Rattus norvegicus: one gene and its partner. The protein of the gene in region 2 purifies or fractionates together with the protein of the main gene of each other region. This does not show direct contact. Links are inferred from orthologs where the notes say so. Each region holds a gene or a part of one and is shown on either strand. Other genes may lie near its edges.

Region 1 (6,339 bases), about 18 Mb from region 2:
AGAGAGTCAGTTCTCGAGAAGTTGAGGGAGGATTAATTGAAAACATTAGTCTGCTCATGTGTGTGTATCAAATTAAAATAAAACCTTTTGGGGTCAGTTTTATTAAAATGTCAGTTTCTAATGTGTCAAAATAGCAATATTTCGTTGCTTCCCTTTTACAGAATTAGAGGAAAACAAGGCCGGGTTCAGGACTTTTAGCACTTAAAGAGCTCAGTTTCTGTACCCCAGTTGTACTTCATAGTACTGTATAGTCACATAGGTTTTTATTTTGGCTTTTCTTTGTTTGGAACAAGATATCACTGTTTCTGGAACTTCACTTTGTAGAGAAGTCTCAAACCGAGATACCTGTCTCTGACTCCCAAGTGCTAGATCCCAAGGCGTGTACTATCTCGCCCAGTTAGTTATATGGTTTTAACAGGTGTTTTTGAAGTTTTCATATTTTTCTTTTCTTTAATATATCTTAACTGACAAAATTACATGTTTATTCCATTGAACATGTTTTGAACTCTTCCCATCATGGTTGATGTGCTTCACTTGTGTCAGAATTTGCAAAGTGGGACTCAGCGTGGTGGATTTCCTTTTGGCAGCTGCTTGACCTGATGTTACATGTGTAATCTCTACAGTGGCATCACAGCTCCTAAATTCCTGCTTTTTTACTTTCCATGTGCTTGGTTCAACACTTAAACAAGTTTAGTAAAAAGTACCAATAGACTTTTGTTTCTTAAGATTGAGCAAGACATGAGGCACAAGTCTTTAATCCCCGTGCTAGGGAGTCAGGCAGGGATGTGTCTCTGAGTTCAAGGCCATCCTATACCATTTAGAAGTGCAGGCCAGCCAGCACTACATAATGACACCTTGGCTCAAATAAATAAGTAAATAGTAGACAAGAGTCAGCTACTTTTATTACTTTTAAAATCTATTTTCAAACTCCACACTTTCAGTTATCAAATAGTGTAGCCACTGTTTGAAATACAGTATGCAGCCATAAATTCTAACAGAGGACAGTCAGTACCCTTGCCTAGAAATAGTATTCCCATCTGTGTTTCAAGTATGCTGCTTCAAGACCCTGCTCATTTGCTAGCTTGTATCAAAGCCCAGTCTAACAGTTAGAATCTGTGGTTTTATTAATGGCCCAGTCTCCAGCAAATGTGACTGCTTTGTGGGTTCAAGGTCAAGACAGATGATAAAGCTTTTCCTTTAAAAACAAAAAACAAAAAAAACCCTCTTTTCTAAATCCACCCCCCCCTTTAATTAGAGAAAGTTGTTGGTTTGCTTCCAAATCACCCAGAGGATATAAGCTGATTTCATTGTATGTTGAAGTGCTACCAGCAAAATTGTTTCTGTTACCCTGTTGTGAGATTTTTTTGTTTTGCCTTTTATAGCTTTTGACTGCTTTTGCCCTTTGGTTTTATTCCTTTGAAATGACAAATCATCCAGAGTCAGCCTAGGTCTGTCTAAGGTGGGGTTGCTAATTTAGAAAGTAGTTAGAACAAAATCTTTTTTTTTTTTTTTTTTTTTTTTCCGGAGCTGGGGACCAGGACCTTGCGCTTGCTAGCACTCTACCACTGAGCTAAATCCCCAACCCCTACAAAATATTTTTTAAAGTGTAGGGATTCTGTTAGAAGCTAATACCATAGCCTGATATTTTCACTGCTGCCTTACTCCTGTTTGAAGGCTGAAGAAGCAGGGAAGAAAAAGGTTGCTTTTCTCCTAGACAGTGAGGCTGAGTCTTCCAGTACCTTTGCACACCCCAAGCAAGAGTCCCAATAATGCTGGGGCTAGCAGTGCATGCCTTTAACCCCAGCTCTGGGATGCAGAGGCAGGTAGATCTCAGTGAGGCTAGCCGGGATTACATAGGGAAAAAACAGACTCCTCCACAGAAAAAGCATTAAATATTGATTTTTATGGCATTTATTTTATTGGAGACACCTATTTTATTCATATACCTAGTACCTACATAAAACCCATGAGCTTGGGCTTGCTGCTGCCAGTCTCTTGGCGAGAGAGTTAATAAGGTGGAGAGTGATAGAGCAGGATAGGTAAAGTCCTCGCCTCCTCTCCATCCACCTGTTCTGCATCTTCATGTGCTCATGTGAGCATCTTCCATGTACACACAAATGTATGTTTCACACGGTCACCTGAAGACACAAAGTACAGCGGGAGGTCTTGATTTGTGTACAAGAAACTGCATTTAAAATGCACAATCAAGATAGTAAGATTTTTATAATCTCTGAAACATATCTTGTTGTGTTAGGAAACTGTGGGAGTGACTAGAATTATTTTTATCAGGTGTTCCTGGTCAAAACTGGTCGGATCCAGGGAATACATTTATAGGTTGAATCTATTGATGGTTTTTAAGCTGATACAAATGTCCTCCTTAACTTAGAATTTTCTGAACCTTGTTGTTAAATGTAAGAAGGTAAACATCTATACAAAATGATTAAGAGCAGCTTTGATTTCATTGTGATATCTAAAGATTTATTAAGAATTCAGATTGTTGTCAGTGACAAGTTTCAGGGATATTCAATACATCTTTTCCCCTTTTTCATCCAGCTTGCGTTGGTGACATGGAGAGATTGTTTGTTCAGGCCATTGAATAAACAGGTATCTACTATGGGATATGTCTGTGTTTCCTTAAAAAAAAAAACTTTCCATTTTTATCTTCTCAAGCTTTTTGACTATCTCAAGAGTATTTGTTGGGCTGGGGATATGGCTTAGTCTGTACAGCACTTGCTATGCAAGCATGCGAACATGGGGTAGATCCCCTGTACCCATTGGAAGAAAGCAGGTATAGTGATGCCCACTAGTGACCCAGCACTGGAAAAGTGTGGTCAAGTAGATCCTTAGTGCTTCCTGGCCAGGTCCCGGCTTGCCTCCTGAATGAGCTCCATGGCACTGAGTGGCGACTGTCTTAAAGGCACGGTCAATTACTCTTGGCAAACAGGTTTGGAAATTGTCCTCAGTCTTTGCATACACATGCATAGACATGCATGTACTCATCCCCCTAAAATATTTATTACCTTGTATTATTTAGTGACTTAAAATGTTTAAAGGATATATAAGATACATTGTGAGCTGTATTATCTGCCTTATACCTTTTGTGTGTTCTTAAAGGTAACAAATGCTGTTTTAAAACTGATTGAGAAGGAAAGAAATGGCGAAACCATCAATACAAGACTGATTAGTGGAGTTGTACAATCTTATGGTAAATAATTTGCCTTTATTCAATAGTTTTTGTATCACATGACAATTATAATAGTGCTCTAATATTAATTTAAAATATTTATTAGAAATTATCAGGAATGTTAATTCATCTTTAAGGTACTTTTAAGTAATTTTATAAATCATAAAAAATATTTAATCTTTGTACTTTAAGGAAATTTTGTGGAAAAATTGAATTGTATTTCCTTCTCTGTTTTCATGAGGAATTACTTATATATAATTGTTCTTTTGAGCTACATGATAACCAGAAACTATATCAGCTTGAAAAATTTGAGATTGAGATACTGATTAAGTGATGCTTTGTTGAAGCTTGGGTGGGTTTGCATTTCTGTGAAAGTTTACAAGCAATATTTATATCACTTTTGGAAGTGCAAACTTTCTCTAACTAAACTTGTAATATTGGAGTATCCCTGGCACAGGTTAAGGATGATTTGCTGCTATACATCTTGGAGTTCATTCTTTTTATTTTTTCTTTTATTAAAACAAGCATACTTTAGTACTAGCAAATAATAGTTACCTTATAACCCTCCATTTCACATTGATCTTTTAAGTGTAACTTAAACTGACTGCTACACTAAAGTATTGTCTGTAAAATATAACAAAAAATATGGTAATTGAAATATAGCTCCTATTTATTTCTAGTGGAATTGGGACTGAATGAAGATGATGCATTTGCAAAGGGCCCTACGTTAACAGTGTATAAAGAATCCTTTGAATCTCAATTTTTGGCTGACACAGAGAGATTTTATACCAGAGAAAGTACTGAATTCTTACAGCAGAACCCAGTTACTGAATATATGAAAAAGGTAAGCTTAAACATAATATAAAGTAGATATAAGTTAAATAGTCATCACTCCTCCAGGGAGTTCTTGGCATTGCAGTGTTCCTCACTTGGCAGGCTTGGCACTGCAGTCACACCATGTCAGCAGGTTTCACTCTTAGAACTCTCTGAAGAACTTTTATAAATTGAGACTCATTAGTGAGTGTTCCCTGCATATACAAGGAGATGCCTGATAGTAGCTGCATGCCTTCCATGTTTTTGTATCGTCTCCCCTTGAAGCGTGGACCTCAGGATTTTATGTCAGTGAGAAAATACACAGGTATTCCTAGATTTGCTACTTTTTTGTTTTTGCTGGTTTTCTCCTAAAATATTCCCTAAGAGTCATAGTTTAGCCCTTCAAGATTAAATTAGGAGGGAGGATGTAAATTTGACTTAGGAGAAGATCCAAGGTGGAGCCATGTATTCTAACTTGCTCTTTACTACACGGTGCTTCCATGACCTTCTAATAGGAGTTATCTTTGCTCTCTTTTTGGGAAATTCAGGGATTCTGGATATTGGGTCTGAGGAACGACTATGTCGGGAGTTGACAAGCTTTCTGCTATATAGTACTGGCCAGTAAATAATCTTTAGGCTTCTCAGCCTATATAGGATCTCTTCTGTCATTGTTCAACTGTACTTTTAAAAAACAAAAGCAGTCATGGAAATGTAGAAATAAGCCGGAAACAGGTGCAGCAGGATTTCCCAGCAGACTACAGTTTGATGACCCTCTCACCTGTATGTACTAAATTTTTAAGAGTCTAGGTCATACCAATCTAATACCTACTTTGCCCTCTCTTGGGCAGGAAATGGACTGCCAAGTCATTTCCGTGTTTAAAGAAAGAAAATATAGGGTTGGGGATTTAGCTCAGTGGTAGAGCGCTTGCTAGAGGCCCTGGGTTTGGTCCCCAGCTCCAAAAAAAAGAAAAGAAAAAAAAAAAAAGAAAGAAAGAAAATATAAGCACAACCACTCTGCTTCTGATACTTATTTGTTTTTTTCTTTTTTTTTTTTTTCGGAGCTGGGGACCGAACCCAGGGCCTTGCACTTGCTAGGCAAGCGCTCTACCGCTAAGCTAAATCCCCAACCCCCTCTGCTTCTGATATTTAGAGAAAGCCATGCCTAGCTTGCGGTGTTCACAGTGTATCTTCGTATGGTGAGCTAATACAGTGAATATAAGTGGGCCTTCTAAGTTTGAAATTAAAATTCAATTACACATTTCTGATATCTCAGAATTCAACAGAAGTAGAACTAGTATATGTGGGATAGTGGTGGTTCTTTGTAGTAGATCTTTGTTTTTTGTATGTGACTGAAACCTAACCAGCTCCTTAAGGGTATTTGAGACATAATCTGTTTTGAATCCTGGTATTGCTCATTATTTAGTTTTGTAGTATGACTGTAGTTTTTATAAACAGGCCTCTTACTGACTCAGTTTTAATTTTTTTTGCACTTTATTTTGTATATGCATGTGTATATAATGTGTATATAATGTGTCTCTGGGTGTGTACATGAACAATGTATGTGTGCCATGTTAGCATATGCATAGACTGTTTTTTTTTTACCATATAGGCACCAGGGATCGAGTTTAGGTCATCAGGCTTAGCAGCAAGCACCCTTAATACTACTGAGCCATTTTGCCAGCCCAGTAATGATTTTTTTTTCTTAAGCTATATCTTTAAAGTAGAATCTTCCCTAACATTGCACACCTCTATGGTGCCAGCCTGCTCTTTGTAGACGACTTTATGATCTGTGGTGATGTCTGCTGCCCATGCAGATAAGAGTAGTAGTAGTAGTACCTCAGCATGAGGAAAATAACTTTTAGGATAGTGCTGCATATACACTCTAAACAAGGAAGTCTGTTTTTTGAAGTTTGGCAACTTCAAAAGTAACAGTGTCTGGTGGGTTGGTGCTTGCAATCAAACCTCTCCTTCACACTCCAGGAAATTCTCTAAAAGCATTAAAAGTTTGGTCCTGACCCACTTAGAAGTCTTACTAAACACAGCTTGTCATCTTGTTCAGGGAACCCATAATTCAGGGTCTACAAAACAAACAGTATAGAGGTAATCTTATATCCTTGTATCTCAAACTGGGTCACCAGTTTTCAAGATTAAAGAATGACCTTAACCGTTATGTTCCTTAGTTTCTTCACCTGTGAAAGGAGAATAATATTTTAGTGAACGTTACTTTTAAAATAATGTAAAAGGAGATTTGAAATTATGTATGCGTTGAATATCTATATTAAAGGCTCTATAGAAAAGTGTAGCAAAGCAAACATAATGGAGGACTTTGACCTTACACATGC
Region 2 (6,439 bases):
AAATTCTGCAGCAAGGGGCCTTCTGTTCTTCCTTTGCCTCCTCCTTCTTTGGTAAGAGGGCCTCGTGGAGCTCTGACTGGACTGGAACTATGGAGACTAGGTGGTCTCAAACATACAGAAATCTGCCTGCTTCTACACCCACGTGACATCATGGGTTTCAAGTTCCAGTGTCTGGGAACCGTGTTGGAGTCGGGAGCCATACATAGGACATAAGCTGAAAGAAGAGAGATGATCCCACTGTCTTCTTTGCTCACTATCCCTGCACGTCAGTCTTCCAGCTGGAGGTTTTGAAAGATCCTGTGCAGGTTTCTTCCCAACAACCTCATCCTAAGACTGGGTTTCCACCTCGGGAAGCAGATCTCTATGAGTTCAAGGCTAGCCTGGTCTACAGAGTTAGTTCCAGGACAGCCAGAGCTACACTAAGAAACCATATCTGAATAACAAAAACAAGCAAGCAAACAAAATACTGGGGTTCACCCTCCCATCTCTCCTTCTGCTGCTCTATTGAAGAGTGTTCTTTTTAAAAAAAGATTTTACTTGTGTGTGTGTGTGTGTGTGTGTGTGTGAGAGAGAGAGAGAGAGAGAGAGAGAGAGAGAGAGAGCGTGAGCAAGCATAGGCATGTACACATGTTCATGCAGGTGCCTGGAAAAGCAAGGAGGGCATCAGATTCCCTGGAACTGGAATTACAGGTGGTTGTGAGCTGCCCAACACGGGTGCCAGAAACCAAACCAAAAGTACACAGGCTGACTGCACTCTTTTTTTTTTTTTCTGGAGCTGAGGACCGAACTAGGGCCTTGCGCTTGCTAGGCAAGCGCTCTACCACTGAGCTAAATCCCCAACACTGGCTGACCGCACTCTTAACCACTGACTCACCTCTCTAGCTCCCCACCTCCCCCTTTAAAAGAAACGCTTTTGGGTTGGGGTTTTAGCTCAGTGGTAGAGCGCTTGCCTAGGAAGTGCAAGGCCCTGGGTTTGGTCCCCAGCTCCGGGGGGAGAAAAAAATAAATGCTTTTAAGGTTTGTTTATTTAATGTGTATGAATGTTTTGCCTGCCTGTTCTGTATGTGCACCATGTGCCCTTGGAGGTGGAAAGAAAGCCCCAGATCCCCAGAGAAGGGATAGTTATGAACCACCATGTAGATGCTGGGAATGGAATCATGTCCTCTGCAAGATCAACAAATGCTCTTAGCTGCTTAGTCTTCTCTCCAGGCCCACTACCTTTTAAAATGTAACGTAGGCTGACCCTGAACTTTGCAGGTAGACTGGCCTGGAGTTTCTAATACTCCTGCTGCTACCCTTGAGTGGCAGAGACATCAAACAGATGGTTTTCTCAAGACTCTGCAGCCAAATTAGGTCCTCAGTGAGCCTTCTTTGAAGCATGTATAGTCATAATTTTAAAATTATAGGATGGGCTCGGTGGTAGATTGCTTACCTAGCTTGTGTGGGGCCGTGGGTTTGATTCCCCCAGCACTGACATGCACACCTCTCTTGTTCACCATTTTGTCGACAATTCCCAGTACATCAAGGCAATAGTTAATAAATGTTTGCTAAAGAAGGGAGGATGAGGTCAAAGCCATAAACTTCTTCCAATAATAACACAATCCTATGAAGGGTTTCAGATTATTCTCAACTAAACACTGCCATTTCCTTGCCTGGAAAAAAAAATGTAATTTAGGAGAGTCGGTATGACTTTTATTTGTAGGCTGCAATTGAGTCCTTCATCTCTACTGAATCTGGAGTGACTTGGCCTTTAAAACCCTTTACTGTAGTAGCACCCGACTTTATTCCCAGTATTCTGGAAACAGAGGCAGAGGCAGGAGGATCTCTTGAATTCCAGGACTGCATAGAAAACTCTATATATCAAAAAAGAAAACTCTTTGTTAATCTAAATATGCTAATTCATCGGACAAGCAAATAATCTACATTTAGTTTTAAACAATATAATCTTAAATTCTTTTAGATAACCAGGAAAGGGTGGGACTCGCAGTCACTATTTTGATAGGCCGGGGGGCGGGACTTAACTCAGAACGTAAGTTCCTGAGCCTCACAACGCGAGGGAACACAACTCCGGAACGGACCAAGATGGCGGCTTCCTGTGAGGGGCAGCTGTTTGCCGCGGGTATTGAAAAGACTTGGGGTGCAGTCGTTCGTTCCCCTGAAGGGACACCCCAGAAAGTTCGGCAGCTGATAGATGAAGGAATTGTCCCGGAAGAGGGGGGCACAGAACCGTGAGTTGTCCAGGCTGTGGGCGCTGGAGTAGCTTGGGGAACAACGGCCTGGAGCAGGGGGCGGGGAACGCAGGGGGTAACTTCAGTCCGTGACTTGGTGGGTGAGGTTAAATTCTTCCTGAGCTCTGGAAAAAGGCTGGCCTTCTCTGATTGTTTGGCTTCGGAAGCCTACGGTTGTGTCTGACGCCGCATCACTAGCGAAATTTTGAAATAAACCTTTTTTGAGAGAGAAGACTGTTAGCTGAATGAGCAAACCTGACTTCTAAAGCCGTGGGGTCTCACAGTATAGTGAAGCTTAGCAACCCCTTTACCGAAGAACAGTCCTAAGTGTGTAAAGCAAATTACATGGGATTGTAAATGAAACAATCACACAGTAAATTTAGTTAGCAAGATAGTAAAATGAAGTTACGTGGAATTATGCCGTTTCCCTCCCTCACTCCTTCCTTAAATAGTTAATGCTGGGCTGGGAAATAGCTAGCCTAGCGTGCACTGAGCTCAAAATTTGAACCCTAGCACTTTATTCAACTGGTAGCGGTATCATACAACGCTAAGACCTTGGAAGGTGGAGGATCTGAAGTTCCAGGCTAATTTGAGGCCCTGTGCCAGAGAGAGGTGTAGGGATGAGGGAGAGGAGAAAAAGAAATTGTCTAGTAGCATGTCTACAATCAATCATAATTTTGAATTAGTAATACCATGATACTATTTCAAAATATAGTCAGCCTTAATATGAATAAATTTTTTTCTCTTGGTGGCAAATTCACAAATATTTGTTTTATTCGTTTTATGTATGTGAGTACACTATAGCTATCTTTGGGCACACCAGAAGAGGGCATCAGTTCCCATTACAGGTGGTTGTGAGGCACCATGTGGGTGTTGGGAATTGAACTCAGGACCTCTGGAAGAGCAATCAGTGCCCCTTAACTGCTGAGCCATCTCTCCAGCCCATGACTTAAATTTTCTAATTGAGATAGTGTGAAACAAGGGTCCGTGTATGTAACAATATGTAAGCTATTCTTTCTCCTATTGAGAGTTAGATTTATGGGCCAGCAGGATGGCTTATCGGGTAAGGGTGCTTGCCATGGAAGCCTGGTGACCTCAGGTCAAACCCTGAACATCATAAAGGTAGAAGAAAAGATCTGACTCCACAGAGTTCTTCTCTGATTTCTATACACATGCATGGGCACATGCATTCACATATATATTGTACATACACACATGTACACACGCATATTATCCACACTTAAGGAGCTGAGACAGGGACTAGAGAGATGGCTCAGTGGTTAAGAGCACTGACTGCTCTTCCAGAGGTCCTGAGTTCAAATCCCAGCAACCACATGGTGGCTCAGAACCATCTGTAATGGGATCTGATGCCCTCTTCTGGTGTGTCTGAAGACAGCTACAGTATACTTATAAATAAGTCTTATTTGAAAAAAAAAAAAAAGGGTTGGGGATTTAGCTCAGTGGTAGAGCGCTTGCCTAGGAAGCGCAAGGCCCTGGATTCGGTCCCCAGCTCTGGAAAAAAAAAAAAAGAGGCTGAGACAGGAGGATTGCTGAGAATTCCAGGCCAGCCTGGGATATAAAGTGAGATTCTGTCTCATAAATAAATAAATAAATAAATAAATAAAGGAATTATTTCGCTGAAGTGGTTTAAATTGTATTATCAATCAATACCTAAACCCTTGAAGGCCGTACTTTGTGTTTACTAAAGTTATGCAAAATATTGTTGGAGAACTGTGAATGAGCTAGGAGGCTGGCTAAACTGTAGAGTTGGGACTCCCAGATTGAAGAATTTAGAGCCTATTTAGTATTGTGAAGTCGTTGGATATATTAAGCAGAGGGACAGCTTTAGAAACTTAAAATCTAGTTCAGGTTTGATATGTGATGTGTGTGGAATAGTTAGGCTCAGGAGATTTAAGAAGAATGGTACAGAGATCACTAATAGTCCTATTTGGTTTCAGAAAGGACACATCTGCCACATTCCAGTCAGTCGATGGGTCGCCTCAAGCAGAACAGCCTCCACTGGAATCTACAAGCAAAGAAGCCTTTTTTCACAGAGTGGAGACCTTCTCTATATCCTTTTCAGTTTGTGTGTCTCTGCCTGCTGCAGAATTGTTACTATAGAGGCACTGCCTACTGTAGCAGTATGGTAGAGTATAGATACTGCTTACTCTGATCTTTTGTTTTATATGTGTGGGTGTTTTGCCTGTATATTTGTGAACCATGTGCATGCAGTGCCCAAAGTGTCCAAAAAAGAGCATCAGATCCACTGGGATGAGTTACAGCTGACTTACCCACCATGTGAGTGCTAGCAGTTGAACTGGAAGAGTAGCCAGAGCTCTTAACTGTTGAGCCATCTCTCCAGCCTCTTTACTCTGATCTTTTAAACCAAAGAATTAGTATCGGTAAGAACTTTTTTCTGGAAATTAGCACCATTATATAATATTCTGCAAAGTATCAGTTGAGGGATAGATCAAATCTTTTGTTTGTTTGTTTGTTTCTGGGTTTGGGTTTTTTGTTTTCTTTGGTTTTGTTTTTTTGAGACAGGGTTTCTCCATGTAGCCTTGGCTATTCTAGAACTCACTCTGTAGACCAGACGGGCCTTAAACTCACAGAGATCCACATGTCTCTACCTTCCAAGTGCTGGGATTAAAGGCGTGCACAGCCACCACCTGGCTTGGCTTGGTTTGGTTTGGATTGGTTTGATTTGAAATGGTCTGGAACTTGCATCCCTAGACCAACTTCAGACTTGCAGTTCTCCTGCCTTGATCCCAAGTGCTGGGATGATAGGTGGGACCCACCATGTCCAGCTGACCTCTTTTTTTTTTTTTTTTTTTTTTTTTTTTCTTTTTTCTTTTTTTCAGAGCTGGGGACCGAACCCAGTCTACCACTGAGCTAAATCCCCAATCCCCTGACCTCTTTACAGAAGGAAAAAAAACTAAATCCTGAGAGAAGGGGTACCTCTAATGCTTGTGTATAGTATGTTTTCACATGTATGCTTACCTTGGATCTTTAATGACTGTGAAAATAGTATTTTTACTGCCACATTTTTTTTTTTAGTTTGGTTTGGTGAAGGGCAGTGCTAGGAATTGAACCTACTGCCTCATGTATACCAGGCTAATATCCTTATACTGAGCTATGTTCTCTGCCTTGTTATATTCATTTTATAGAGAGCAGATAGGTTACATGGTTTGCCCAAGACATCTGCTAACAGGTAGAGGAGCCAGGACAAGTGTGATGTAATTGAAAGTATGTGACAGCGCCCACTGCCTCCTGCCTCTCCTCCTCCTATGTCCCCACCAGACAGGGTTTCTCTGTTTTAGCTCTGACTGACCTGGAACTCACTCTGTAGGCCCAGCTGTCTTAGAACACCTCCCACGTGCTAGGATTAAAGGCCTGCACCACCACTGCCTGACTTCTTGATCCCTTTTTTTTTTTTTTTTATTCATTTATTATATATAAGTACACTGTAGCTGTCTTCAGATACACCAGAAGAGGGCATCGAATCTCTTTACAGATGGTTGTGAGCCACCATGTGGTTGCTGGGAATTGAACTCAGGACCTCTGGAAGAGTAGTCAGGTGCTCTTAACCGCTGAGCCATCTCTCCAGCCCTCTTGATCCCTTTTTTATATTAGTCATTATTGCATGGCAAACTGCTCTAATATGCAGTGGCTTTAAAGAACTATTATCATAAACTCTGTGGATTATATAACCAGACACAGAGTAGTTTTGTTTTGTTTTATTTTTGTTGTTGCTGGTAGTGGTTGTTTGTTTTATTTTTTCATTTATGCATTTGCTTGTTGTATATGCCATTTGGGGTTAGGGGATGCCCAAGGAGGCCAGAGGAAGGTATCAGACCTAGGGCCAGAGTTACAGGCCTCCAAACATATGTTCTGGGATCCAAACTTGGGTCCTCTAGAAAAGCAGCCACAGGTGCTCCTGTGGCTCTTGAGTATTTCTCCAGCCTAGTGTGTGTTTGTGTGTGTGTGTGTGTGTGTGTGTGTGTGTGTGTGTGTGTGTGTGTGTGTGTGTGTTTTGTTTGTTTAATTTTCTAGGCAGGGTCTTAACTATATAGCTCAAGTTGACATGGAATTCATTATATAGCCCTGAAATCATGATCTTCCTGCCTTTGCCTCCCTGACGTGGGGATTACAGGTGCCTTGGTTCCTTACTACATGGGTTCTTTTGGAGCAGTCCACAACTTGGAAGCTGG

The links. The genes of interacting proteins can lie anywhere in the genome.
Region 1: the proteins of Zc3hc1 (region 2) and Cul1 purify together in Homo sapiens (affinity purification with western blotting; 3 studies listed by BioGRID, with this or other methods). This does not show direct contact. The link is inferred for Rattus norvegicus from reciprocal best matches to the Homo sapiens genes ZC3HC1 and CUL1.

What each region holds. Positions count from the first base shown.
Region 1 is NC_086022.1:77,591,549-77,597,887, forward strand, and holds part of Cul1 (cullin-1), read left to right. Parts: intron 1-2,553; coding exon 2,554-2,604; intron 2,605-3,114; coding exon 3,115-3,205; intron 3,206-3,864; coding exon 3,865-4,028; intron 4,029-6,339. UniProt on the Homo sapiens protein: Core component of multiple cullin-RING-based SCF (SKP1-CUL1-F-box protein) E3 ubiquitin-protein ligase complexes, which mediate the ubiquitination of proteins involved in cell cycle progression, signal transduction and transcription.
Region 2 is NC_086022.1:59,974,954-59,981,392, reverse strand, and holds the start of Zc3hc1 (zinc finger C3HC-type protein 1), read left to right. Parts: upstream 1-2,056; 5' UTR 2,057-2,082; coding exon 2,083-2,228; intron 2,229-4,186; coding exon 4,187-4,298; intron 4,299-6,439. UniProt on the Homo sapiens protein: Required for proper positioning of a substantial amount of TPR at the nuclear basket (NB) through interaction with TPR.